3 linked regions of the Stegostoma tigrinum genome follow. The protein of the gene in region 3 interacts with the protein of the main gene of each other region in a biochemical or structural test. Links are inferred from orthologs where the notes say so. Each region holds a gene or a part of one and is shown on either strand. Other genes may lie near its edges.

Evidence for each region. The genes of interacting proteins can lie anywhere in the genome.
Region 1: the proteins of ribosomal protein S6 kinase 2 alpha-like (region 3) and Na(+)/H(+) exchange regulatory cofactor NHE-RF2 interact in a test that uses a peptide from one of them, tested with the Homo sapiens proteins (2 studies listed by BioGRID and IntAct). The link is inferred for Stegostoma tigrinum from reciprocal best matches to the Homo sapiens genes RPS6KA1 and NHERF2.
Region 2: the proteins of ribosomal protein S6 kinase 2 alpha-like (region 3) and delphilin-like interact in a test that uses a peptide from one of them, tested with the Homo sapiens proteins (2 studies listed by BioGRID and IntAct, with this or other methods). The link is inferred for Stegostoma tigrinum from reciprocal best matches to the Homo sapiens genes RPS6KA1 and GRID2IP.

The regions. Positions count from the first base shown.
Region 1 is NC_081376.1:38,052,780-38,061,622, reverse strand, and holds the start of Na(+)/H(+) exchange regulatory cofactor NHE-RF2, read right to left. Parts: upstream 4,571-8,843; 5' UTR 4,034-4,570; coding exon 3,824-4,033; intron 804-3,823; coding exon 576-803; intron 1-575.
Region 2 is NC_081376.1:20,777,441-20,785,983, reverse strand, and holds the start of delphilin-like, read right to left. Parts: upstream 4,571-8,543; 5' UTR 4,314-4,570; coding exon 4,199-4,313; intron 986-4,198; coding exon 399-985; intron 1-398.
Region 3 is NC_081377.1:32,186,351-32,197,484, reverse strand, and holds the start of ribosomal protein S6 kinase 2 alpha-like, read left to right. Parts: upstream 1-6,815; 5' UTR 6,816-7,062; coding exon 7,063-7,125; intron 7,126-11,134. UniProt on the Homo sapiens protein: Serine/threonine-protein kinase that acts downstream of ERK (MAPK1/ERK2 and MAPK3/ERK1) signaling and mediates mitogenic and stress-induced activation of the transcription factors CREB1, ETV1/ER81 and NR4A1/NUR77, regulates translation through RPS6 and EIF4B phosphorylation, and mediates cellular proliferation, survival, and differentiation by modulating mTOR signaling and repressing pro-apoptotic function of BAD and DAPK1.

The DNA.
Region 1 (8,843 bases), on a different chromosome or scaffold from region 3:
AAATAAAATGCCAGAATCAACCATACCACCCCAAAAAGTGTAACAGATTCAATAAAGGCTTCTCCTCACTACTTCTAACTCTCCGTTTGAAAATGCCACTAAAATTAGGCATATTCCTTTGATTTGCAGTCCTGTATACAGTTGTTATACAATTATATTACACATTGTAAAGTTCTTATATTGCTGCCTTGAAAGTTGCTATTGCCTCAGAAGTGTTTTAATATTCAGATTTTGATAACAAGAAAAGTAATTTGGGCATGCAAGTTATATAATCGTATAAATTGGGAACAATAGTAATTTATTTGGCCCCTCGTGTATGCTCTGCCATTCAATAAGATCACGACTGATTTAATAGTTTTCCTGCCTAGCCCCCAAAACCCCTTGACTCCCTTGTTTGTCATATGAGGCAGCTTCTACATTGAATGATCCCTTCCAATGTTTGTCAAACGCAATTGGAGATTGTCCATCACTAAAAAAATCATTGAGAAAAATGGAAGTTAATTTTTCATAAAATGTTGGGCAACTGGGCAACTTAACTCCCATGTCTCACCTTATTTTTTCAAAAGGGCTCTTACCTTGTTATTGCTATCAATGGACTTGTTTGATAATCTTGTAGGCTCACCACTGCTCAGAACTACTTGCGGTTTCCACACTTCACCATTGTCCTTGGTCTTAACTGCTGGGAGGTTCTGGCCGTAATCCTCTGTACCAGCGAGCCGCTGATTACGCAGGTATTCATCAGTCTCCTTGTCCACCACTAGTAGTCTTGTCTCATTCTCCAGTGCCTTGATCCGGTGCACGACCTGGTGAAGACAAAGAGGGTCACAACCTTTCGATAAATGCATGCTGATTACAATAAACACTGTGTTAAGCATCAAGTTTCAACATCAAAACCTTTAGAAGAAAACAAGAAGCTTGTCAGCAATTCTAATGAGTGCAATTCTTGAGGCTTCTGCTAATATCAAAGCATCATCCCAAAAAGCTTTACTGACTGTGAAAGCTCTAGGGAAGTTACATGAGCAGGAATTGTTTAATTTGAAGCAGAATGGGATCAAATTTCAATGTTGTCTCTGAAATTCAGTAACTCCTCCTAATATGTACCTTGCAATCAGATACATTAAAGAGGAAGAAGCGCAGAAGCAAACCACATGGCACCTCAGGTCTGCTCTAACTCTTTTTATCCACACTAGCCCCATATCCCTCTCCCCAAATGTGAAGCATGGTGACTGTCAGGTTAAAGCACCACTAGTCCTCTCTCTGTAAAGAGAAGATTAAAATGCTCTTTCTTGAAGACTCTCAATGCCTGAGCATTCGGAACTCTCTGGCATGAAGAATCCCAGAGATTCACAACTCATTGAGTAAATGAGTTTCTCTTTAGGTCTCTAGCATTTCCTTATAGAACATAGAACATAGAACAGTACAGCACAGAACAGGCCCTTCAGCCCACAATGTTGTAGCGACCATTGATCCTCATGTACGCACCCTCAAATTTCTGTGACCATATGCATGTCCAGCAGTCTCTTAAATGACCCCAATGACCTTGCTTCCACAACTGCTGCTGGCAACACATTCCATGCTCTCACAACTCTGTAAAGACAGCAGCTATCTCAACACCATTAGTGGGCAGAGATCTAGGTGGAGAGATGTAGTGTTCTAGGAAACTTGGATATGAATTTGGAAAATGGTAACCTCATTCAACGATTCTAGAAAGAACACCAGAATAAGAAACAGGAAAGTAATCAACACAGTCCCTCAAGCTTGCTTAATAAAACCATAGCTGATCGGGTCTCAATTCCACTGATCACCTAGTCCCTATAAAGCTCGATACCTTTATAGTTTAGGATATCTACAACTCAGTACCAAATACGTTCAATGATTAAAGTTTCTACAGCCCTTTATGGAAATTCACAAAATTAGGGAAGAATTCACCCTCATCCTAGATTGGAGATGCTTCATTCTGAACCTGTGTCCCTTATCTCTACAATCCCCAATGCAATGAGAATGTATTTAGTATTTACCCTATCAATATTTCTAACCTCCAATGAGAAAAGGTCCCAGATTGCTCAATTGCTTCATTAGACAATGTTGGATGGGGGAGCATTTACAAGGTCAAAGTGGTCGACTGTCAGTTTGAAGAGGGGTAGTGAGGGAAAATGTGAAAGGGGGTAGGGACAGAACCCAAGGAGTAAAACTAGGGCAGGAATAAGCTTTCAAGGAGGTTTGACCTAGGATGGTACAGGTAGGGAGGAACCCAACAGACATTGCCGATCAGATAGTCTCAATCTTAGTGATAGAAAAAATACCACAACCTCCTTGGACTTGTTGCTGGAGGTGAAGGTAATGAAAACAAGAGGACAATTTTTATAGAGTGAGGCTTGAGGAGACTTTGTTGAAGGAATAAGATCAAAGACATGATAACACAAAATATTGTCTCAAAGCCAAACTCAATCATCCACTAAAAGTTCAAGGACTCCAGGAGTTTTGGCTCTGAGTGAATATTACTGTATTGTTGTAAAAGCTGATCTGGAGGATGATGCCAATAGGAGCAACTGAAAGGCAGAACACTGGGAAATTCCAGGTGCTCAGCTCCTGGAACAGTGAGCTGGACAGAGAAGTTATGGTTCTCCCTTATTTCCCATTTACAATTTCTCCTGCTTCTAACACTGTTCGGTATAACCATATTCAGCATCACCGAGTTGCTGCAGTGGAGGTCTGTGAACACACCAGGTCTTTCCCGGCATTTTTACGCTGGAATACACAGTCTAATGGTTGAACTTTTAAATAAGCAGCCTGAAAATAAGAATCACGTGACCACATGTCTCAAGTCCAAGCGCCCTATTCACCAAAGTTCCTTCACATGAGGTAAACTTTTGTAATATTACTAAACGGTGCTTTTCAAAAAAAAACACAATGAACTTCTAATCCACCCCCATCCACTGAACTATATCGACCATAAACCCAAGCATGTTATAATCTGGCTGGGCTAGAGTTCACGCATCTGGATAATGTCACATTGGTAATCGGGTGAAATGAACTCTCATGTGTACGCTCTTTGGTTTCATTGTAAATTGAAACATGACACTAACGTGCAAAAAAGAAGTGTTTGTATCACTTGGGAGTGGCAACATATGAGAAGTCACTTTTTACCGCTGCCTACAGACTTTTTAAAACAAATGTTTCTCCAGCAGTATAATGCGACGAGTGCAATTGATGTGAGGCTACACCAGCATTTCAGAGGGCAGACTGCACCGATAAATCCCTCAAGTTTAGGCTGGGGTTCTCAACCGAAGCCATAAGGGCTCAGTGTAAAATCCGTCGAGGCATCGGTCGCTTGGATATGAAACACACTGACTGTCAAAACAATCTTTATTGATCCTTCAAGGTCAGGGTTGCTTTGCCTGCGTTCAAATATTCAAATAGTATTCACTTACTAAAGCAAAACACAAAGGGCAAGCGCACAAAAACGCATCGCTCCTGCATTTTGCAATTCATTCGGTATTAAAATGTTTCCAATTATGAATCAATAAAGGTTATCCTTTGTAAAACCGTGTCCCAGATGCAGCACCCTCGAACCATTTTGGGGACCGGCATTCTGGCCAGTACCTTCCCCGCGGCTGGACATGTCTGATTGATCAATGTGGAGTATCAACGATCAACTCCATCCTGCTGCACCCCTTTCCCCTTCGTGTGGGTTCACCAACACACTGCGGGGACCTACCGATTACTCGCTGCGTGCCCGCAAGACGGGAGCTGCATACGCTTTAAAAAAATTAAATAAAAACTTTGCAAGCCATGCGCGTTTCCAAATTTGTTTTGTTTTTACCTGATGGTGCGTCTCCTTCTCCACGTTCTCGCCGTTAACTTCGACCACCCGGTCCCCGGCGCAAAGACCCGACGCCTCCGCCGGTGAACCGGGCTCTACTTTACGGATGTATTGGCCGTTTTTGCCTTTCTCCCCGTGCAAGTGGAAACCGTAGCCATTTTCCGCTTTTATCATGTGGCACAAGCGGGGTTTCAGGTGGTCTTTGGCCATCCTCGCGGCCCCCTTGGGCGTTTCAGTCCCCGTCTTGCAATTTCAGGGTCACTTGGTTACTCCGGTGGAAATAAACTTTCTCCTTTTATTTTAATTCGTTGCCGTTGCGGTTACTCCCGGGAGCGTGTGCTTGTGATCTTCTGTCTCTACGAGCCGCCGCTGTTGTACGCTCCCAGTCCGGGTATCCGCTCAGTTCCAGTGATAACTCGCCAAACTTGGAGTTCAATTTCCACCAGGAACGCCAAAGGAAGAGAAGGAGACTCGGCGCCAGCGCACCTCCCCTCAAAGTCTCCTCGGAAACTTCCAGCCTGCACAGAAACGCGCAAAAACAAAACCTCCGGCTGTTCGCAACCCACATAAAACGAGCTTTTGTTTCTCTCCTGTCGTTTGCATCAAAAAGTTCCCCGCGTTGCCGAGCGAAACCGCATTCTAAATGAAGTCTGCGGGTCAGAAATGCTAATCGCTGGAAACGACAGCAAGGCGTACCAACCAAGTGCGGCGATGACACGCTATAAACAATAATAATATTGGGTCTCTCTTTCTCCCAAAGTTCAAGTTCTTTAGCGGGGTCCCTGCATTTAGACTGACTGCCACCTACTGAAAGCCGGCGTGAACAGCAAGGTTTGATTCAGGGTGTCCTAGCTCAGCCAGGCTTCCCATCCCCATCTTTCACAACGTGCTGTGGTACTCTGGTGTTCCCCGACTATATTGGGCCAACCCGAGGGACAGACCAATGCTGAGTTAGACAGAGCTTTAAGATTCGATTTAGAGGGGAAAGGGAGACTGATGTGCCAACACTTCAGGATTGGTCTGAAGTCTCCAGAGCAGCGTTGTGTACAACCCCAGAGGAAATTCTCAGGGAGGTTTAATAATGATATTTTAAAAATAATTTTCTTTCATTGTTTCGCTTTAGCCGGCTTAAAATATGGCACAGTGTTTGTTTGGCTGGTATCATCCAATTTGATAAAGGAGTTTTTTTTGGCTTTCTGTGCAATGGTAATTGGATTGGCTCGCTAATGATTTGGGCCTGAGGGTAAGTCATGAGCTGAAATCATCAGGAAGACATTTAACTTCTGTACAAAACTCCATTACAAGCTTAGAAATAAGAAGTCACAGGATCCCCAGAGTCTGGAAGCAGACTGTTCAGCGCATCAAATCCACACCAAGCCTTCAAAGAGCATCCCAGACCCACCCCTACCCTATAATCATAGCTAATCCACCTATCCTACACAGCCCAGGACACTATGGACAATTTAGCACGCCAGTCGACCTAAGCTGCACATCTTTGGACTGTGGGAGGAAACCCACACAGACATGGGGAGAATGTATAAACTCCTCACATACAGTCACCTGAGACTGGAAGCAAATCCAAATTCCTGGTGCTGTGAGGCTGTAGTGCTAACCACTGAGCTACCAATGAATCCGAGCAAGGGCAAGCTGATAAAGTTTAGGGGTGCATATGTGCTTGTGGTTTGTGCTGTACAGTGTATATAATGCTAAGCATACACAGATTGTTGCTTATGCAGCAGCTGGACTATGTTAGAGGTTGTGCATGGTCAGTGAGTAGAAGTGCCTCCCTCACTTCTGCAGTCTTATTTGTGCCCAGTGTCCCTCGAAAAGGAGAATAAAACAAGAAACTGTTGATGCTGGAAATTTGAAACATAAACAGAAACTGCTGGAAAAATACGATGGGTCTGGCAGTATCTTTGAAGAGAGAGAAACAGAGTTAACATTTTGAGTCCAATGGCTAGTCAATGCCAAAAATAATATTCTCATTTAATTTATTTTGTTTCTATGTCAGGGGTTTTGAGTTCGAATCATAATCTGGGATTTAAGCACAAAAATCATTTTTGCCATTCTAAAAGAATATTGAGTGCTGACCTGTTAGACTGACATACTATCTTTCAGATGAGATTCTACTCAAAGCCCCATCTGCTCTCTCAGGTAGGAATGAAAGGCTCAATAGCACTGGGGGATATCCCTGGTGTCATAATTGCCAATCATGCTCAACCCAACCTGTGCTTGTAAGCCTCAGAACACTATGTCTGATCTAATTGTGATTCTGCCCTGGGACAACACATATTAAATAACCCAGATTGTGCTAAGAATTACACCCAGCCCCAATTCCAGATTATCATTTGGGCTCGCAGTGTGATCATTTAGATGTGCTAGAATCTACATATATTAATCTAAAGGAACTTGTTTACTTAGACAAAGTTACAAACCATGAACCTTCTTCACTGGGGACCAAAGGGTAATGGAGATTGCAAATCTTTGCTGGGTTGCCACAGCAATGCCATGACCAATGAATATCTTTGCCTGAGACAACACAGTGTGGAGTGGGAGGAACACAGCAGGCCAGGCAGCATCAGAGAGGCAGGGAAGTTGACGCTTCGGGTCGGGACCCTTCTTCAGAAACCTTCACAAATGTCAACTTTCATGCTTCTCTGATGCTTCCTGGTCTGCTGTGTTCCTCCAGCACCACACTGTGTTGTCTCTGACTCCAACATCTGCAGTTCTTGCTATCAGCAAGTATCTATACCTGACTTTCCAGAGAATTAATATTGGCAGTTAATTACTTATGCTGCATCTCCATGCCAACTGTGGCTCAGCCAATGAGCTGTATGCAACATGGCTGGCAAGATTCTGGCATTACAGCAGTGGTCTCATTTCCAAAGTATGTCATTTGCAGTAGACGTGAGATGTCCAATGATGATGAGAGGTGTTTCATAAATGCAAGGTGATACAAATGCAAGATTTTCTCTTTTTTTTACGTGATTAGTATTTTTACTGTTTGTCCCCTTTAGGAAAGGGGGTTCTTTTATTAAATTAACTTGATTGGGTTTAATGACAGTGGGACAACCCAATGTAACCTTAATTAGTAATGAAGAGAAGTAGAATGTGTGAGGACCAATGTTAATGTTTCATCCAGCCTTACCACTGAAGCGACTGCATTATGCTGTTTCTTCCATTCGAGACCTTTAACATAGGCCAGCTCTTAGGGAAGCAATAGGGAATGGAAGTACAGCTGCAAGATTCTTAGGCTTTTGTGTCCAGCTTCCAAGACTGGGGTCTCGTGATGGCTGCCAGAAAGTCCCAACTACTTGTAAACATCCTTATTAACGGAAGGGTGGGGGGTTAAAAACTCTATGGGAATGTGCTTCCTGTCCTCAGCCTGCTCCCACGCTCACACCCAAGCCAAACTTTCCGATCAGTCAGAGTTCAGAGGCAAACTTTACTGATGGAGTCTTTCTGTAGTAGACAGATGTTAATGAAATGTACTCCTTGGGGTAAATCTGTTACATAAGTTTAGCCTTTCGCTATATCTCGGTGTGTTTGAAAAAACACAAACATTGTGACTGGATTATTAATTCCAAAGGTATGTATAAAGTTTATACACTACAACAGAAACTGCAGTTCATAAAAAATGTAGTTAGCTGCAAAGGACTTTGGGCCAACTTGACATCGTGAAAGGTGCTATGGAGATGGAAGTCTTTCAATCCAATGAACTTGTATGAGCGTATTATAACCATACTATAACCTTTGTGATTCCTCTCACTGTCACGAGTTACAATATCAGACATGGCTAACAATAGAGCAAACTTTTCAAGAAATTATTTCAGGGGATGTGGTCATTTCTGATGAGGCCAGCAAGGCCAATGCTAATTGCCAGCAAGACAGTGGTGGTGAGCTCCTTCTTGATCAATTGGATTCTGATTTATCTGTGGCAGTTTAGTACAATGGAATGACTTTCTCAGCCGCTTCATTGGGCAATTAAGAGCCAACCACATGGATGTGGACATGAAATCACATGTTGACCAGAGAAGGGAAGAATGGCATATTTCTAAATGGGCACCAATGAATCTGATGGGATTTTTTAAAAGCTAAGTAGTTGTTTTATGATCACTATTACTATGACTAACTTTCAAGTTTAGAGTTTTAATTAGTTAATTTTAAGCTCCACAAGCTGCTGTAGCAAGATTTGAACCCAAGTTCCCAGAGCATTTACCTGGACCTTGGAATTATAGCCAAGTGACATGACTCTGCCATTATCCTCCCAATATAGCCCATTCATGCCTACTTGTGATACAACTTCTTATAATGCTTCATAATGTCGCTTATGTTAAAGGCACTATATAAATGTGTGTTAATGTTACTTGTATTTGCAATCAAGTTCAGTAAAGGTAATAGCTTTCCATCATCATTAGTAGCAGCCATTTGACAATTTGCGCACAGGAGTAGAGCATTGGCTCACAAGTCTGTCCATTCCAACTTCACAAAAGGTTATTACAATGCAAACCTATATCTTATTAATTCTGAATTTTATTTGTTGTCAGGATTTTGGACTATCATTAAAAGTTCCAAGATAGTGATTTTGGTTTTGGCAAATTATCCACCCTGTGTTGTAATTTTGTGGTCGCTCCTAAGCACTATTCTGAATTCTGAAAGTAAAGGAGAAGTGTGGCTGTGCTATAATAAGCTTATAATGTCTGACCTCAGCTAAAATGGGTGTAGACATATATGTATTTTTGGTATTGTGTATTGCTGCTGTGTACATGCAGAGCACAGCAATTATTGTAAAACTGGCTGTGGGATGTGCAAAATATGTGGTTTGACTCCATATATGGTTAAGTGTAAAATATCTAATGTAAAAAAGAGCACCAACAGAAAAGTCATAACTACTAGTGTCTTTTTTTAAACATTTTTACACAAGTCTGAGAAAATCATGGAGACCGGCATATAATTTCAAATTCCAGCAGCAGATATGTTTATTAAATGACTACACTAGTGTGCAATTCAAACTTTATAA
Region 2 (8,543 bases), on a different chromosome or scaffold from region 3:
ACCCAGAACCATCCCCATCCCCCTACCGTATCCCTGTATCTCTGCATTTCCTATGGCTAATCTGCCTAGCCTACACATCCCTGGACACTATGGGCAATTTAGCACAGCCAATCCAACTAACCTGTACATCTTTGGAACCTGGGAGGAAACTGGAGCACAGGGCAAGTGTGCAAACTCCACACAGATGGTTTCCCAAGGCTGGAATTGAACTTGGGTCCCTGGTGCTGTAAGGCAGCAGTGCTAGCCACTGAGCCACCCCTTTAATGTTGTTAAGCCTGAAGTAAAGGTTTATGTTTTCACTGGGTGGACAAATCCTATTCATCCAGAGATCCCAATGCTCCAGAATCTTTGCAAATTATCACAAACAGGTCCTTTCTGCTTGGCTGGCAGTCTCCTACCTTTTTATTAAATTCCAAAGCTTTAAACTTCCTCTCCTGATGTATCGCATCGGCATTCTGAACATATTCACGGATACTGCTGCTGATCCGTTTTTGTCTCTTCCCAAAGCATAGGACTCCCAGTTTCAATGGTTTCCCATGATTGGCCTTTATCATGGAAGCTGCAACTTCATAGTTTTTTACTGGAATCCCATTAACCTCCATAATATAGTCACCACTCTTGAGTCCAAGCTCGGCTGCAGGCGAATCTGGGAGGCAATCCTCGATCTGCAAAGGGCTGTCACCACTCAGGTTGAAACCAAATCTTCCATCTGCTGCAGGCAGGAGTTCTATCTGCTCAATACGAGACACCACACCAATGCTAGGAGGAACAGTTTTACAATGTCTGGCTAAATTGATTATTGTATCACTACTCAGGGATGATACATCCTGTCCCTCAATTTCCAGAATCTGATCCCCTGGCTGCAGACCAGCAATGTGCGCGCTACTGCCCTCTTGCACGGAAAGGATGTAGCATGGACCATTCCCACTGATATGAAATCCAAACTCTTCTGGCCATTCTTGATTGTTGCTTGACATTATCGGAACTAGAGTGAAACAAAAGAGGGAATTTTAGATTCCAATAGAATTAAGCCGATTGCAAACAGTCTGGAATTCAGAATATAGAAAGCAATGTTAAAAGAAACTGTTTAAGAAACAGGAAGTAGAAAATTCCTGTGAGGGGTGTAATGTCAGACTAGGATGGTGTTTTTGGAACTCAAAGGTTACTGCTTGGGTGCTAAGGCAATAAATACTTTCTCAGCCAACAACAGCCACAACTCATGAATAATAATTTTATTTTTAGAAAAGTTAACTTTTTCCAAGGGGGGAGGATCAATAATTAGAAGACAAAGATTTAAGGTGACTGGCAGAAGAACCAGAGGCAACAAGTGGTGAGTTACAATGATCAGAACTGCAACATTTGAAAGTCTGATGGGAGCAAAGACAATAATAACTTTTAAAAAGGAACTGGAAAATACATTGCTAGATTAAGGAGAAAGAACAGGGGACTGAAAGTAATTGGTTAGCTCTTCCAAAGACCAAGCAGAGACACAATAAGCCAAATGGCCTCCATCTCTGGTGTATCAATTTATTATTCTATAAATAATCTGGATTTCGATGATAAAATACTCAATCCCACTTCAGGTTAGTTTATTGTCCAACAGTTCCATTTTAATCCAATATTTAGTGAATAATTCCATTTCAGGCCATCTTCAGGTTTAATTCAAAATCCCATTACAAACACTCCAATGAGACTTTTCCTTAAGCAACTTAAAACCCAACAACCCCACTTCAAACTGTTTTTCCCCCACAAATAGTTCCACTTCTAACTGGTTTATAATTATATAATTACATTTAAATTAATTTATAGCCCAAGAGTCCCATTTCTGGTTTGCATATAGCACAAGCCAGACCACAGCCCAACAATTTGGCATCTGCTGACACATAGTGTTAAAGCAGATATCATGAACACATCTAAGAGGAAACTTGATGCACATATGAGGTAAGAGAGAATAATGGGATCAGTCATGCTGGTAAGAGGTAATAACTCATGCTGATGAATGCAAAATGCATGTGCATTTAATCAAGTTAATCAGGGAATTGGTGACTTCATTGATCTTCTCTACATGCAAGTGGACACCTGTATTTTTACAAGATGGATTTAGCTTCATGTAGCGCCACCCTTATTTGGGGCACCTCCAACAACTGCAACTTACATTTAAAATGGGCCTTTTGCACAGTAAAATGTCCTAGTCATATCAAGGGCCTTTATTATCTAACACTGTGTCTCATAAGGGGAAATAAGACAATGACCAAAAGCTTGATCCAGATATAGGCTTTAAAGGAGAAGGAGAGGTAATGTCTCAAGGAAGGGTACAGCTGGAGAAGTTTTGAGAAGAATTACCAAAGTAAATGAGGGGTGGGGATGAATATTAAAGAGACCAATATTGCAGGAATGTAGATTACATGTATCTTAGGGGTTTATGGAGTTTGAGAAGGTTACAGGAATAAGGCAGGCCAAAGCCATCAAGGGATTTGAAAACAAGGATGAAAAGGTTAAAACTGATTCCTGTTTAAGCAACACCTCAGCATTGGTGAGCAAGCACAGTGTTGATAAGTGAAAGGGATTTGGTGAGAAGTTAGGAAACATACAGGATTCTGGATGAGTTTAAATTTATGGCAGATGAAATCAATGCTTACAGTGTCTACTTTTATTTGTATGGTCTGTGGACAAATGGATATCTTTCAGTCCATAACACAATTCATTCTAATACCTTTGAGAGCTTAGTTCTCACTGGATGTCATGGTGTTTAGTAACATATGCTACAGATGAGTGTTTCTAATGACCTGTGTTTGTAGCTTATTCAAAATAATGGGTGAGTCTTACTTTGCAAAAACTCAACATGGCACTTCCTCATATATTGGGTCAGGTGCATTCACGGTAAAGGCGCTTACTCAGAATCTGGGTTAATGTGTATAACATCTAGAATTTTAAAGGCTGTAAGCGTTTCTCATTTTTATCCGTTATGCTCTATCTGCCAAAATCTCTTACAAAGGAAAACCCAAAATATCAAAAGCAAGAAAAAAATCCTCCCAAAGATTTATTTGACAGTATTTTGATGCATGTGCCCTTCATTTCTGCATCTGCAATTTCACTGCTTGGTGCTACATAATCTATGTGCAAGCCATATAATAAAAGAATCATTGTGTGAAAATCTGGGGTATCAATTCCGGTAGATGAGACAACCTGAGGGTAAATGTAGGTATGATCAAAAGAACAGAACTGAAGAGCCATTCAATGCTGTTGAATGGTAAAAAAGAGAAAAACTAAATAGTTAACATATTCAGAATGATACAATATAAATTCTGGGCATATAGTATCATAATTTTATACAATAGGTATGAAAGCAAATAGAAAAAACTGCCCACACTTACTCATTTGGATTGAAAATGTGACCCATTTTCATGTGTCTCTCTCAAAGATAGATGTGAACTGGAATCCATCTTATACTTGCTCATAATTTTTATTCTAATCTTCCACAAATTTGAAAACCTTGTAGATAATTTAAAATGTACTGTTGTTGCTTAACGTCCATGTGTTTTCTATAAAAAGCATTTAAATTAATTTTCAAATATGACAATAAACTTAAAATAATGAGACAGAAATATTGTTGCTTGAAGTTATGTTTAGCCTCTGAATAAACCTAAGTAGTACTGTTTCAGCTTAACGAACTGCCTTGGAATGTTCATCACAAAGGAAAGGTGGTAAGCAGTTTAATAGCTAAACAAGTCTGAGCTTTAATATCTAAAGTTTCCTTGACAACACACAACACTTTTCATCCAACTAAACCAAATTTCAGATTAAAATTGTTTTATCATTATCTGTGATCCAGTTCTGCAAGAGACCCACTGGCAAATGTTCTTAACAGCCTGGAAGAGATGAAGAATTCCAATCTAACAAGTCACAGACCCAAATCCTATCCCCTGAAGCCTAACACACTGGAGAAATTCCTCTACTTTTAAAATTTAAAAGTCTGTTGCTTGTGTTTATTGTAGATTACACATCACGTCCTAGCTTCACAACCCACAAAACACACCTCCCCCAAATCCTTAATCAGCTGATTCTTCACATTACTTGTTGAAACCACAAGGTTTGCACCACAGAAGGATTCACTGTCATTAGGCATGGTTGCTATGGAGATGTAAATCAGCAGATTAAAAGCCATTTGTGAAAGAGCTCACAGCAGTGACACACTTACAGAAATCTTTGGGCGAAGAAGGTAAGTCGCCCGGCCCCTGACTCAAGCCATGTTTGGACTTTCGGCTTCTCAGCAACCTCTTCACTCGGTTCACAATACTTTCACGTTTAGCCATAGTTGTAGATTTAAAACTATGGTGTATTGGGCATAGGATAAAACAGAAGTCCTGGATTCAACTTCGCCTCAAGTGCTTTTAAAACAAAAACTTTACAACATCATTTTTCAAAGCAGAGAATCCTGTCAGCCATGAGATACTGGCACCACTGTCCTTCTCGTACAGTCGACTCTTGTGCACCAGCTGCATACGTTGTCTTTTGCAGTATCTCTGATATACAAGAGGAAGTCCTGCCTCTTGCAGAATGAGAACACGTTTCCCTTTGAATTCATCCCAGCAGCAGCTAATGCAGGAGGAGCTGCACAGTGTCCAAAAAACAGACACACACGTGAAGTGCAGGATCACCAATCATTCTGCTCTTAATTGCTGCTTTAAAAGGAGCAGCTGGGGATATTCAGATGTAAATGGAGTTAGAGTCAGGAGAATTCTAACATTGATTATATAGGAAAAGAACATTATGGACTCAGAAGAACTAGGGAAGTGGATCATCACAATGTGTTTGACATGAAAATAATGTTGACATCTTACGTACATTGATCTAAAGCAAGAATGGACAGTCAATACTCCCCAAATCTTGAGCAATCTGTGGAAACACATCATTATCCAACATTTCTCAACAGAGTCTTCAATTCATTTGTTTCAACTGAGGCGACCTCCTTTGATTTTTCTCTGAGACAGTAAAGTGTAAGTGTTGAATATATATAACCCTTGAGTTAATCAAATGGTGTGAACGTTTATTACAATGACAATGCAGAGGTTGGACGCAGTGTACCAACCAATGGTCAAATCTGTTGAATAGTGAACTGGTAATCAAGCACTACTCTGTACAAAACTGCACATTTACAGATGTTATATCATTGAACTGTCAATATTACAATAATTTACAAGTTTCATAATTCTCAAATTGTCTAAATATCAAAGAGATTTTACTCCACCAACTCTCATAAACCTGATTCTTGAAATCCATAATTCATCTCACAAGAACAGTCAGCTGGGCTCCAAGTGACTGGGGTACTCTCTGTCTTAGATACATCATTTAAATTACTTTTTAAAAATATCCTGAAATAAAACAGATTAAAATTGCTTTACTCAGTATTACATTAAGTCAGCAGCCAATCAAAAATAATATAAGAATGTCTGCACATCTTTTCAGAGACTTCTCTCAGCCTAATAATTTTTGGGACATACATGTCACTTGCAAAACCAGCATATGTTACAAATCAGGATGGTGTGTAACTTGAAGGGGCACATGTGGCAAGTGGTTTCTCAATGCACCTTTGTTCTTCTAGGCAGGCACAGGACTTTCGGAGGTGGTATCAAAGAATCCTTGAGGAGTTGATGCATCTTGTATATTCAGTGCAACCCCTGAACGCCAGTGGTGGAGGCTGTGGAAGTTTATTGTGATGAATGGAATGCCAATTAGGTTGCTTCTGAAGTGTTATTGGAGTTGCAGTCTTCCAGGCAGGTGGATAGTATTCAATGTCATTCCTAAGTTATGCCTTATCAATGATGGAATATGTTTGGAGAGTTAGGAGATATGTTACTTATTGTAGAATACTCAGCCTTTAACCTCTTGTAATCACTTTTTTATGTAGCTGGTCCAGTTAATTTTCCGGTCAATGGCAACCTCCAGGAGACAGATAGTGATGTATTCAGCACTTATCATGTTCTTGAATCTCAAGGGGTGATGGTTAGACTCCCTCCTGTTGGTTGGAGATGGTCATGGCTTGGGAGCTTGTCAGAGTAAGCATGATTGCTGTCCAAGTCTGGTTGCATGCACCTTCACTAACTTAAGAATTGTATTTAAATCTGAACAGATTAAATCAATGAATGTCATTAATTCCAGCTTTATAATAGGGTCACTGAGGCAGCCAAAAGTTGCTTGGGCCGAGGACACTGACATGAGGAACTTCTAAAGTTGCCTCCTGAAGCTGGGTTATTTGATGTGTAACTCAAATCAAATGCTTTCTGATATCAAGGGCAGTCACACCCATATTGCCTCTGAGAGTTAGTTATTTTGTCTGAGTTTGATCAAAGAACGTAATGAAGACGGGAACTGATTGGTACTGACAGAACCGAGATTATGTATTGGTGAGCAGATTATTGTTCAGAAAAAGATAAACAAGAACTGCAGATGCGGGAGTCAGAGATAACAGTGTGGAGCTGGAAAAACACAGAATACGAGGCAGCATTAGAGGACCAGGAAAGTTGATATTTCGGATTGGGACCCTTGCTCAGAAATGGGGAGTCAGAAGGGAGTTAGGAAATAAATAGAGGAGGAATGGGACTGGGGAAAGAGAGGTGGGATGATGATAGTGAGTACACGTAGGGAGTGGAGGAGATGCGTCAGTGGGATGGGTGGGGTGGACAGGTGGGAGAGAGGATGGACAGGTTGTGTGAGGTCAAGGAGGCGGGGATGAGAGGGAGGGTTGGACATGGGATGAGACTGGGGATGGGGAGATTTTAAAACTGGTGAATTCCACTTTCAGGCCATCAGGCTGTAGGCTCCCGAGGTGGAATATGAGGTGTTGTTCCTCGAGTTTGCGGGTGGTGTCATTGTGACACTGGAGAATACCCAGGATGGACATGTCACCAGGGCGTGGGAGGGGGAGTTAAAATGGTTGGCGACTGGAAGGTGTTGTCATTGGTCACGTACTGAGCGCAGATGCTCTACAAAACGGTCTCAGAGTCTCTGCTTGGTCTCACCAATGTAGAAGAGGCCACTCGCAGCTTGCTCCCACCTCCAGACTGAGGCAAATTAGCCTCTCCTCAGCCAAGAAAACAGTCTGCCCCATTGTGGTTTGTTGAAAAGGTGGCCACTTTGCTCATCTATATGGAACATAGTTAAATTGTACCAGTGGCAGAATGAAGCCCTTGACTGATCATTAATTGACCATTTAAGGATCTTAATTAGCCTCAGATCAGGAAGGTTGACCAGGATCCACTCCACCTAGAATTTAACTCCCGTAGTGGAGGGAAGGAGGCAATTCCCCCGATTATTTGTCCTGCCCACTGCCTTCCCTACTATTTCTGAGTGGGTACATCCCAATCAATGTATCTACCTGTATCCATGAAATGTGGGCATGTATAACACAAAAGGAGGATGTGCTCTTGTCAGAACTGAGCTGGAGTGATCCAAAATAAATCCCATTGATTAATTCTCTTCTCCACAGTACTGTCCCTTGCTTGGCTTCAGTTATTCATCCAATTTTGTCCTAAAATGTACTGTTTACAGCAAAGCCACTCCTCTTAAAGACATTTTTCTCTTTTCTAATTACAGTCTGCTTGTGACAATTTGAAAATGTATTCCTCAACTGCGCTGCCTCCTCAGCCAGAGAAATAGTTTGCCTTTTTTATCAAACCTTTCATGATATATCGCTGTTAAATTTCCTCTTTCCCTTCTCTCCAGCAGATTTCATTTCCTGAGAATACTGGAACAATTGTCACAGCTGTTTAGAAAACCTAGACTCCCATGTACCTGTTTCTTTACCAACTATATTCCCTTACTTAACAATTTATGCATTTGTTTCTCCCTGCTTGGTGATTGGTGTATAGTTCCTGCTGTTCATCTTTCCATGTCACATTATATTTATCCACACAAAGGAAAATGGGACAGAAATACAGAGAAGGAGAACAAGAAGGTAGAAATATGAAGAAAGAGACAGAAAGAGGTAGGAGAACAGAACTGAAGTAAACATGCACACAGAGGGAAATTGTGAGTTACAGTATGAGAGAAAGAAATATGCAGCAACAAATGTAAAGAAATATAGATGAAGGCCATGAAAGACAGAAATGCAGAGACGAAAATTTATACTGGATATTACAAGTTAATATGACGGGGAAGTCAAGATCCAGCAAGGCCCTACAATACATACTACTGCATGTTTGTGCAACAATTCCAGGGTTTTTGCTTTTACTGTTGTATCTGGGAGTCCATTTCAAATAATGAACATTCACCTTGTGAAGCAGTATTTCTTGATATTAGTCCAAAATTTACATGTTATTGGTTTGAATCCATGTCTCTGGAGGGGAGCTAGTGCACTAAATGGTTCATTTCATCAACTTAGAGTCTTAGTGAGGCTAAACCCCGAACAGAAGTAACCGAGCAGAGCCAATTTCAATTACTGGACACAACAAGCCATCATTGTCTCCCAACTATAGTATGAGGCCTGATTGCAAATCAGCGTTGATCTACACCACAAGCATCAACCAACTCAGATATCACTAAGG
Region 3 (11,134 bases):
ATCTCCAGGTTAACAAATTACACAAAGCTATGTGGGTGGAGGGGTGAACTGGGAGGAATGTGCAGAATTCCCATTTGTGATTTGGACAAGCTGAGTGAGCAAGCAAATGTGAGGCAGATGAAGTGTAACATGAATAGACATGAAGTTATCCAATTTGGTTGCAAAAACAGAGAGGCAGATTATCTGAATGATAATAGATTGGAAAGGAAGAACTGCAATGAAACCTAGCTGTCCTGGTACACCAGTCACTGAAAATAAGTATGCAGGCTTTGCAGGTGGTGAAGAAAGCAAATGGTATGTTGGTCTTCAAAGCGAAAGGATTCAATTACAGGAACAGGGATGTCTTGTTGCAATTGTGAAGCAGATGGTTGATGCCAAAACATTGAATGTTTTCGAGATGGAGTTAGATGTAGTTCTTAGAGCTAAAGGAAAAAAGTGGGAATGTGACACTGATTGGATAAACAGCCATGATCACATTGAATTATGGAGCAGGCTTAAAGGACTGACTAGCCCATACCTGTTGTTTTCTACATTTCCATGCAAATTTTCAACAGCATGTCATTTTTGCAGCAATATTCAAGTTGTGAACTGTCAAGTTACTATTTATACTAAAATCCTGCATCAGGGCAGGATCTCCTACTGGATGCTGGAAATTGTCTAATGGGAAGGAGTAGTTGCTTATCATCAAGAGCTTCAGAGGGGTCATATCTCGAAGCATAATAGGTCCCATAACTGCTCTGCTTTAAGAACTTGGAGAAATCTATGGAGATGTTTGGAATAAGTGAGTGTGGAAGTGACAGAGCCACAATTGAGGGTTTCAGTAGCATCTCAGATAACTGTGGGCATGTTCCAGAGTTGTAAGTAGATTGTTTTCTGATGGAGAGTCTATTTGGATAGATCTGATTTGGGTTCATTCAGGGTGTTGAGATAGCAAACAGTCTAGCTGAGTTTGAGCTTGTGGTGGAAATGAGGATGGAATCAGTAGCCGTGATACAAAGTTTATGGTGGGAGCTGAAGGTGAAGATGATAAAGATTCAGCCTTCCTTCTTGCTAATATTTAACTACAGGAAAAATAGTTGCTTATTTCAAACTGGATGCTTATTAAGCAGACTAACAAACAGTGTAATTGGAATTGTTGAGAGAGATTTGGCCAACATCAGTGTGCAAATGAAAGCTGATGAACTGACATGCAGAATCAAAACAGGACAAGTCCATAGTTAGATCCCTCAGGCACTCAAGCGATAATGGTGTGGGGTAATAACGAATAAACACTGCTTATGTTCTTGATACAATCAAATAGTCAAATAGGAAGCCAAGTACAAAGTAAATATGGCATACATTTTTAGCCTTATGATGAGTTCTTCTGCTTATTGTAGTGAGGGATTTGATGGGGAAATGGAATAATGTTCAAAATGTCAAATGCATTTTCCATTTTCCCTTTGTTACAGATAGCAGGTTGTCAAGGTAACTAGAGAACGAGGAAGGGAAGAAAGAATGAACCTGAAGAGTTATTTTCACCTGCAGCAAAGTAGCATTTCAGCAATCACAAACACTTACGGATTTCTCAAAGGTTTCATTATGTACACTGTACATATGACTGGCTAATGGAGTTGCAATGGACACTAAGTGCAGACTGATGAACAAATAATAAATGAATAAAATTAAACAAAGACAGCTGATTTTAATTTGTGACAGTTCTGTTTTTCAACTCTTTCACCCAAGACTACTCTTACAACTTCTTCATATTAGCCTGAAATAAATCATTCCCTAATATGGTAAATATTTTTTTCAATTTCTTTAAATTGCTCATAATTTGAAAACTGTTCATAAGGATTTTTAAAGATCTTTGCTTATAATCCTTATGCTACTTTTTAATGCAGTGTAGACAATGTACATCAGAGCCAGATGCTCCATTTGAGATTTGCACACCAAGGTGTATAGAAATAAATAAAGTGTTTCCTTACATTAGGTATGTGTTAGAGGACATTTAATAGTTATTAGTTCAGCATTATTCGTTTATCTTTCAATGTTGAAATCTCACTGCTTACTATAACTTTGGATGGGCATTGTTATATCACTGGCAGTAAGCCCAGAGGAAAAAAGCAAAGTTACAAAGTGCCAAAGGTTCATGGAATTTTTTTCCTGGTCAGCAGTCTGAAGTAGGTAGACTAGCATGCATTAGATCATTCAGGTTCAAACTGTAAGCTGTTCTTTCTGTTCAAATGTCCTGCAGCCTCTTACAATCAAAAAATGATGTAATGATTTTTGATGTTTTTAAAATTACAGATATCAATATACAATCACATTTAATTTTGTAAAATTAGTACATTAATACCAAAAAAAATTTTCTGAATTATTTTTGGAACATTTTGTATTAGACATGATGATAAACATTATAAATAAATAACAGGCATTCATTACATTGTATGTTTCACTTTATCAATATATGACCATAGCACAGACTACTAAGAGACACAAACAGCTCCCTCTGTTTAGTATTTTTTTAAATGTCATTAATTGAATGATGTACTAAGGGAGCAACATTCAGAATAAATACATTGAATAGTACAGTCAAGGCACTGAACTTGTTTGTTACATTTTTGATGGATTTGTGTGTTCATTGTGGCCAAGAATTGCTGGAGAATGGAACAAATATTTGAAGAGAAGGGGACATAAACTGAGGGAGCCAAACTTAAAATTAATGGACAAGCTTATATAATCAGAACCATTTTAACCTCTGTCTGGCTTAACTTCCAAGTTCTGTTTATACAAGAGACTGGATGCCTTAGCACCAGCGGCAACACATGAACAACTATGAGGCAGCTCAAAATTTGCAGTTGCTGGGAATATGTACTGTGTCAGGACAGCATTACTAGTCTGACTGGGAAGGCTGACTTCAGAACCAGAAACATTTGGCAGCCAGCAGCATTCTCCAGTAAAGTAAAATGCTGTCTGCCATAGGCTGCAATATATACATTGTTGCAGCAGTTGCACTTCCTATGCTGCAGTGAGGAAATTGCCTCAAGGTGGTTCTCTGTCTGTCGAACTACTGATGAAGTCAGCAGCTCCTTCAGCTGGAATGCTGCAAGATACATGCAGCACAAACTGCAGTGACACTAGTCACAATGTAGGTCAGCTTTTCTTATAGGCACGCTGCATGGTCCTTTCTCACCAATACCAGAATGTTGGTAAAGTATGACTTTTTGTTTTTTCTTTTTCATTGGAAATAACTAAAACATTAGGCTTTATTTATTAAGTTTTACTGTCACGTGTACTCAAGTACAGGGATGCAGGAGCACAGTGAAAGGTTTACAATGTCACCATTCATGAAGCCATCTTAGGTTTCAAGCTACCTAGGTACAAAATCTTTGAAAAAATAAAGAAATGTTAAAAGTTGAACATTGCAGTTCTTGTCAGCATAAAGCAGTAAATAAGAAATAAAGTTAAAAGTTCCAAATTACAGTCCTTCATTAATCATGAACCTGCAGTTGCTCTGTGCTGGGCTTTTCTCACAGGGGCTCAAACTCTCTCCCGTGCTGGGCTTGACCTCTTGATCCCTGCACCTCCGTGCTGCATTCTCGCTGCCAATCACCATCTAACATGTTAATATATTAAAATACTAAATAATATGCTCTTCTATATCTCAATGTTAATAAGACAAAATATCAATCTCTTGCAAGTTGCTAAGATTGATCAGTAACCTGAAAAACTTAAATAAGGACTTTTATAGATCTTTGTTTGCAATCCCTGTGCTACTCTTTAATGCAGTATACACATAAATCAAAATCAAATGCTTCATTCCAGCAGTATATGCCAAGGCACGTAGAAAGAAATAAACTTTTCTAAACATTAGACATGTTATATTAACATTGGAGAAGCTAGAATTGGTCTCCCACTCCCATTTCTGATAATATTAACTCCATGTCCATATTAGCCAATATTGTAGATAGTTATACCTTCAGGTCCTCTATTCTCTAAATCTGCTGTCATCACACCTCTCCTTGACATTACCATGAAGGAGTCTCCTCTCAACTTCTCCTCTTACTCAAGGTCGGCACAACATCGAGGCCCGAAGGGCCTGTACTGTGCTGTAATGTTCTATGTGTAGTGATCCTCAAGTTAAACCACTGCCAGTAGTCTTCCTCTAATGAGACAGCAGTCTTATGGTCTGGTAAGACTATGGTGACTTTACACAGTAATAGAAGTGTACAGCATGGAAACAGGCCCTTCAGCCCAACCTGTCCATGCTGACCAGGTTTCCTAAACCAAATTAGTCTCCTTTTACTTTGAGAGATTACACTTTGATACTTCTTCCTTTGCAACTGACCATGTTTTCTATGATCTTCTGTTTCTTTCCAAAGTTCTTAAAAAGTGTTGTGGTCTCCCAAAATTTGTTCTAAACTTTTTCACAGCTCATGTTTGAATCCTTGCAATAAGGGCTCTGCAACACAGCAGCACCTAACAGGTCTTGTGAAAATCATAAATGACATCCTACATGATTGCAATAAAGGTACGATATTCCTTCTCATCCTGTGTGCAGTCTTTTACATGATCAATCACACGAATCCTCCTCGGCTGGGATTGGGCTCTTATAGCACAGTCATAATATCCCTACTTCTGATCCAGGAGGCCGAGATTTAAAACCCATCTGCTCCAAGGGTGTGTAACAACATTTGTGCACAGATTGGTTAGAAAATATCTATCACTGCTTCTAGCTGGGTCCATTCTTATCTAACTGTAGCCACTAGCAACAGCTTCTCTTCCTCAATCTCTCAGATATCTCTGACATCTTCCACAAATCTAAACTTGTCTCCCATTTGTCTTGCATCTACCTGCTGTCATTATCTAAAATCAGCGTTGGTTTTAAAAGTAGATTCCCACTCCATCTCATTACCTACTATCTTGACTTTTCCATGACAGTTAAATTACCGGTTTATCACAGAATCCATACAGTGTGGAAACAGACCCTGGGCGCAACAAGTCCACACCGACCCAGAGAGCCTATATAGACCCATGCCCCTCTCTCACCTAATCTACACATCCCTGAACACTACGGGCAATTTAGCACAGCCAATCCATTTAGTCTGCATATCTTTGGACTGTGGAGGGAAACTGAACCCGGGTCCCTGGTGCTGTGAGGCAGCAGTGCTAACCACTGAGCTACTCCTAGCGCACAGTACTGGGCCAGCAGAAATGTTTTCCAATCAAATATTAGGAGGTTTAAACTATTGTTTTTGGTTCCAGCTCCAATTCTGTTTCCTAACTACTATTTTCACTATGACTAATTCTGTCCCTCTTGCTAACAATTTTCTGAGAATCGGGCAGTCTGTTACTTAACTTGGTGTCACGTTCAATCCTGAGATGAACTTCTGACCTCATTCCTATGATCTCTAAAACTGTTTAATTCTAATTCTGTGACAAGTTTGTCCCTACCTTAGCTGATCTGCTCCTGAAACTCTCATTCATAAGAGCATAAGAACTAGGAGCAGGATTAGGCCATCTGGCCCTTGAACCTGCTCCACTATTTAATAAGATCTTTTTGAGACTCAGCTCCACTTGCCCGCCCACTCACCATAACCCTCAATTCCTTAACTGTTCAAAAATTTATCTAGCCTTGCCTTAAAAACATTCTGTGAGGTAGATTCAACAGCTTCAATGGACAGGGAATTCCACAGATCCACAACCCTTTGGGTGAAGAAATTCCTCCTGACCTCAGTCCTACGTCTGCTTCCCTTTAGTTTGCGGCGATGCCCTCTAGTCGTAGTTTCACCTGCTAGTGGAAACAACCTCCCTGCCTCCATCTTATTTATTTCCTTCATAATATGTTTCTATAAGATCTTCCCTCATTCTCCTGAATTCCAATGAGTATAATCCCAGTCTACTCAGTCTCTCCTCATAATCCAACCCTCTCAATTCTGGAATCAACTGAGTGAATCTCCTCTGCACCTCCTCCAGTGCTAGGATATCGCTTCTCAAGTAAGGGATCCAAAACTGCACACAGTACTCCAGGTGTACATACTAGTCATACCTACTTAGTTCTCGATTCAAGTCTTCCATTGCATTCCATACTACTCCCCCAAATTCTGCCCTCTATAAAGTTGAGGACATATATAGTTTTATAATACATTTGTGGACTTAATTACATTAGATGCATTAGATACACTTAAGCTGTTGTTGTTAATGTTCTTAAAGTGGAGAAGGGGAAATCGAATAGACCTATTCATTAACATTAGCCATTTTAGAGGAGCAAGTACAGAAAAAAAAACTTCCTTAGGCAGAGAGGAAAGGACCAGAGGTGATAGAGTTCAAATAACTGGCCACTAAGCCAGAGAGAAAATGAGGATACATTTCTTCTGGTTAAAATTTGAAACACACTATTTCAAAAAAAAATTCCAAATATAAAACAATTGAACGTGAAGAAAGGACCGGGCGAATACATCACAGAAATTTAACAGCACAGGAAAGGCCGATCGGCCCATCATGCACTTGCCCCTGAAATGAACATCAGTGGCGCCTGCCAATTTTCCGGTAACCACCCGTATCTTGCGCGGGACTAATTGAGCCTGTCCTTCATAGAACCCGTACAAATATGATGCGCCCGTTGGTGTCCTTCTGAGGTGTAACACTTTACGGTTGGAACGCTGAGGAGGACCACTTCCACACGCACGGCACCCATCGACGTTGCCTGACCTTTTCTGAGATTGCCATTAGAACCTCGTCCACTCCCCACCATTTCGTGCCATGCCACAGCCACACGTATGGACGTCGCCTGACGCGATGACGTAATCGCGCGAGGGTGGTGAGTGGCAGGCGCCAGAGAGCTCGAGCTGAGCAGCAGTTCACGATCGGAACCCGCGAGAAGGGAAGGGAAAAGAGCGAGAGAAGAGTCGGGTCTTGGTGTCACTTCACCCAGCGGTATAAACTCATCAGAAAGGATCCAATACTCTGTGCAGTTATCTCTCACCTACCTGGACAGAGCTCAGCGACAGCGGGCAACTCTCTCCGGAAACATTCACACTGACAGGGATTTGCCTCTTGTCCCGTTTCTCAGTCGGTTGCAGGATGCCGTTGGCACAGTTAGCTGGTCCTTGGCCCAAAGTGGACCTGGTTCACCTAGAGACCGAGGTAAATATTTGCAACAAGTCATAACCAGACTAGAGGGAGTGTAAACTCAGCTGAGAGAGAAATGTCATTCAGAAGGAAAAGCGATACTCTTAATCCAGCTCTTGCTGTTTGGCATACAGTGAGCTGACTTGCTAAGCTCCAGCGCTTGGGGAAATTCCTCAGAAGTTGAAAGGTCCAAGGTGGGCTTCTCCGATCGCTCACACTTTCCAATGGAGGGCGGGTTAGTGTACTAAAATCATTGTCAAATGTAGCTAAATTGCTGTTTGGGGCGCCGTTGAATTTTATCGAAACAGCATCTGCAGAGGATCGAAGCGGCAGGATAACAATTCAGTTACCTTAGGCATTGCAAATGTTGGTTATGTTGCCACATTGTGGTTGCAATTATGACTATTTTTTTGGGGAAAAAATATCAGTGTTTGGCAGTTGCGTGCTTTGTGTCACCGCGTCTTCTTTGTTCAGTGATTGCGTGTGGTATCTAGCCTCCGACTTAGGATTCTGCTAACTTCAAAAATATTAATTAACGCAAAAATGAGCGCATACCTTTATATCTTTAAAAGGACGTCACATTTACGGACATTTTTTGCCAAAATTGTTTTTTATTTAGAAAATAGTGAAATGAATTATGCCGCATATTGAAGCAGCAGCTGCTGATGAAAGTGACTCGAAAAAAAAGACTATGGCCCTAATGACATTATGAACACTTTATTTAACGCATGTATGACCTTGCACCCGCAGCTACCAAATGGTTTCGTCTTCCATAATTTTCGCTTTCTAACCAAAATAATGATTTGCCACATGCTTCGTGGAGTCATCACGCAGAATGAAAACCTGAGATTGGGAGAGCGGTGAAAAGGAATTGTGTGTACAGTGGGCAAGAAAGGAACGGAGTTGCATCTAGAGCGGAACTGCTAGACAATGTACTGGAATAATTTTATTGCATCCTTCTGTACTTGAGAAGCAGGGTTTAAAAGATGAACAACGGAATATTGAAAGAAAGTAGAAAGAAACACATTGATATTGAAGCAACATTTCCCGAGGGAGGAAATTGGATCTGGGGCAGTACTATAATAAAAGCTCCTGATGGATAAAACATTACGGTTCACTTTATAAATCAAAATCGGGCTGATACGTGGCAAAATTTAGGTTTCATGGCTTGCTAATCTATTACTTCTTTCACATTTTATTGAGAAAAAAGTATTCAAAGTGATAGCAACATTTCACAGCTGAATGTGCATATTAACAACATGCGACAGAAATATAATTCTTGAAAAACAATGGTTTGTTTAAAATAGTTTAATTGAACCAGTGAGGGAAAAGATCATCTGCAATTCCATTGGAGATCTAATCCATTAAATTCTCTAGAATTTGTTACAATAAATAGTTCTTGTTTTGGTATCTATTGATCTCAGGCACTGACTATTTTGGATAAGTTCTTGACTCAAGAGTGTGAACTATCCAGTTGAAATGTTCAGGTACCAATTAAGATTGCATAACTGTATAACAATGTTCCACCTGATAAGTCTTTGATTCTCCTCAAAAACACAATCTTTGCACTCAGAGTTCTTGCACTCTAGCAACCCAACACAAGATTGCTGCAGGCCATCATCAGCAGCAGAATTGTACTCAAACACAACTGCAACCTTGTATCAGAGATAATGGGAACTGCAGATGCTGGAGAATTCCAAGATAATAAAATGTGAGGCTGGATGAACACAGCAGGCCAAGCAGCCTTGTAATTTGGGAAATCCTCCACTTTACCATTTCCATCAGGTCAGGGGATCAACCCTAGTTCAATGAAGATTGCAGGAGGACATGCAAGGAGCAGCAGCTGATGTACCTAAAAATGGGATGTCAACCTGGTGAAGCTACACAACAGGACTATTTGGAGCCAAAATGAAATAATATTCAGAGTTAAGCAATCCAACCAATGGATCTGATCTAACCTTTGCAATTCTGCCACATCCAGTCATGAGGGGCACTGGACAATTAAACACCTCACTGAAGGAGGAGCTCCAAAAAAATCCCCATTGTCAAATGATGAAGGAGCCTAGCATGTCAATACAAAAGATAATGCTGAAGCATTTGCAACAGTGCTCTGTCAAAAGTGCCAGGTACTATATCAAGGAACTGTCGAAGGCACTACACACTGCATAGGCTCTGTCAATGTTCTGGCAATCGTACTGAAGCTATAAGCTGCAGAATTTGCTGTGCACCAAGACAAATGGTTCTAGGACAGCTGCAACACTGGCATCTACCTGACAATGTGGAAAATTGCTCAGATCCATTCTGTATAAAGCAGGGCAAATCCAATTAAGTTGGTTATGTTCGCCTCATTCTTCTCTCGATTATCAGTAAAATGATGAAAAGAGTCATCATAGTGTTATCAGGTTGCACTTTCTTAGCAAGAACCTGCTGTCTACACTCAGCTTGGGTTCCACCAGGGCCACTCAGCTCCTGACTTCACAACAGCCTTTGTTTAACAAAGACATCAAAGCTGCATTTGACCAAATGTGGTATCAAGGAGCTCTAGCAAAACTAATGTCAGTGGGAATCAGGGAGAATCTCTCCACAGTTTGGAGCCATACCTGAGGCAAAGGAAGATGATCGTGATTGTTGGAGGCCAGTCATCTTTGTTCCAGGATATCTTTTTGGGAATTCCAAGGGTAATGTCAGAGGCCTAATTGTCTTCAGCTGCTTCATCGATTACATCTTCATTATAAGATCAGATGTGGGAAGCTTCCTCAGAGAATGAAGCAGCCCACATTCAAATGCAGCAGGACCTGGATAATATCCAAGTTTGAACTGACAAGTGACAAGTGAAATTCACATCAAACAAGTGCCAGGGAATGATCATATCCAGCAAGAGTGAGCTTAACTTTCAGCCCATGACATTCAATGTCATTTCCATCACTGAAACTCCCATAGAGGTCACCATTATCCAGAAATTGAACTGGAATAGCCAAATAAATACAGTGGCTACAAGGCCAGGTCAGAAGTTAGGATTCTGTAGTGAGTAACTCACCTTCTGACTCCCCAAAATCTATCCATCATACATAAGACTCAAGTTAGGAGTCTGACTAGATTCCTTCCAAGTTCCACAATGAGTTCAGCTCCAATATTTTAGAAGTTAGACACCATCCAGAACCCAACAGCCCAATTAAACCACATCTAGAAACATTCACTCCTTCAATCACCAATGCTCCATTACAGCAGTGTGCCCATCTACAAAGTACACTGTATAATTACACAAGTGTTTCAAGGACAGTACCCTCCAAACCCCTGGCTATGAACATATAGAAGGGCAAAGCAGCAGATACATGGGCTGACTACCATATGCAAGTTCTTCTCCAAGCCAGTCTCAATCCTGACTTGGGACTACATCACAGTTCCTTCACTGCTGGGCCTTCACTCCTGGAACACCCCATTCCCAACATCATTGTGGATCTACAGACAACAAGTTATCTGCAGCAGTTCAAGAAGACCATTACTTCCTTGAATCCAACTCAGGAATTGACAATGCATGTTACCTGAGCCAGTAATGCCCATATCCCAAAAATGGGAAAAAAAATCCAATTTCTTTTTCCTTTCAAATTCCTGGAATTTGTTGTCACTTCCCAAAACTGAAAGTATATTTTCCGGAACTCCATGTTTGAACCCACCCAGCAAAGCTACCACCCCGACATGGTAACAAAACTGTTCTTATTAAAGGTGTTATATTTGGCAACCTGTCAGAAAAATATCCTCTATCTTTTTTCTGTGAGCTGCCTGAAGCCTTTGGCATTGCTGATTATGTGAATCTTGAACATCAAAGCACTGCTGAGAAGCTCAGTGGAACTGCTGTCTTCTGGTTCATGCTTATCTATCTAGTTGTAGACAGATTATTGCTTACAATAGTTTCCCTTTAAACTAATGTGCAGTTATCTTTGTGTCTGAAGGATACTTCAAATCTATATTCTGCCGTTTGGGCAACATTGTTCAGAAATAGAACATTAGTTTCCATGTGATCATT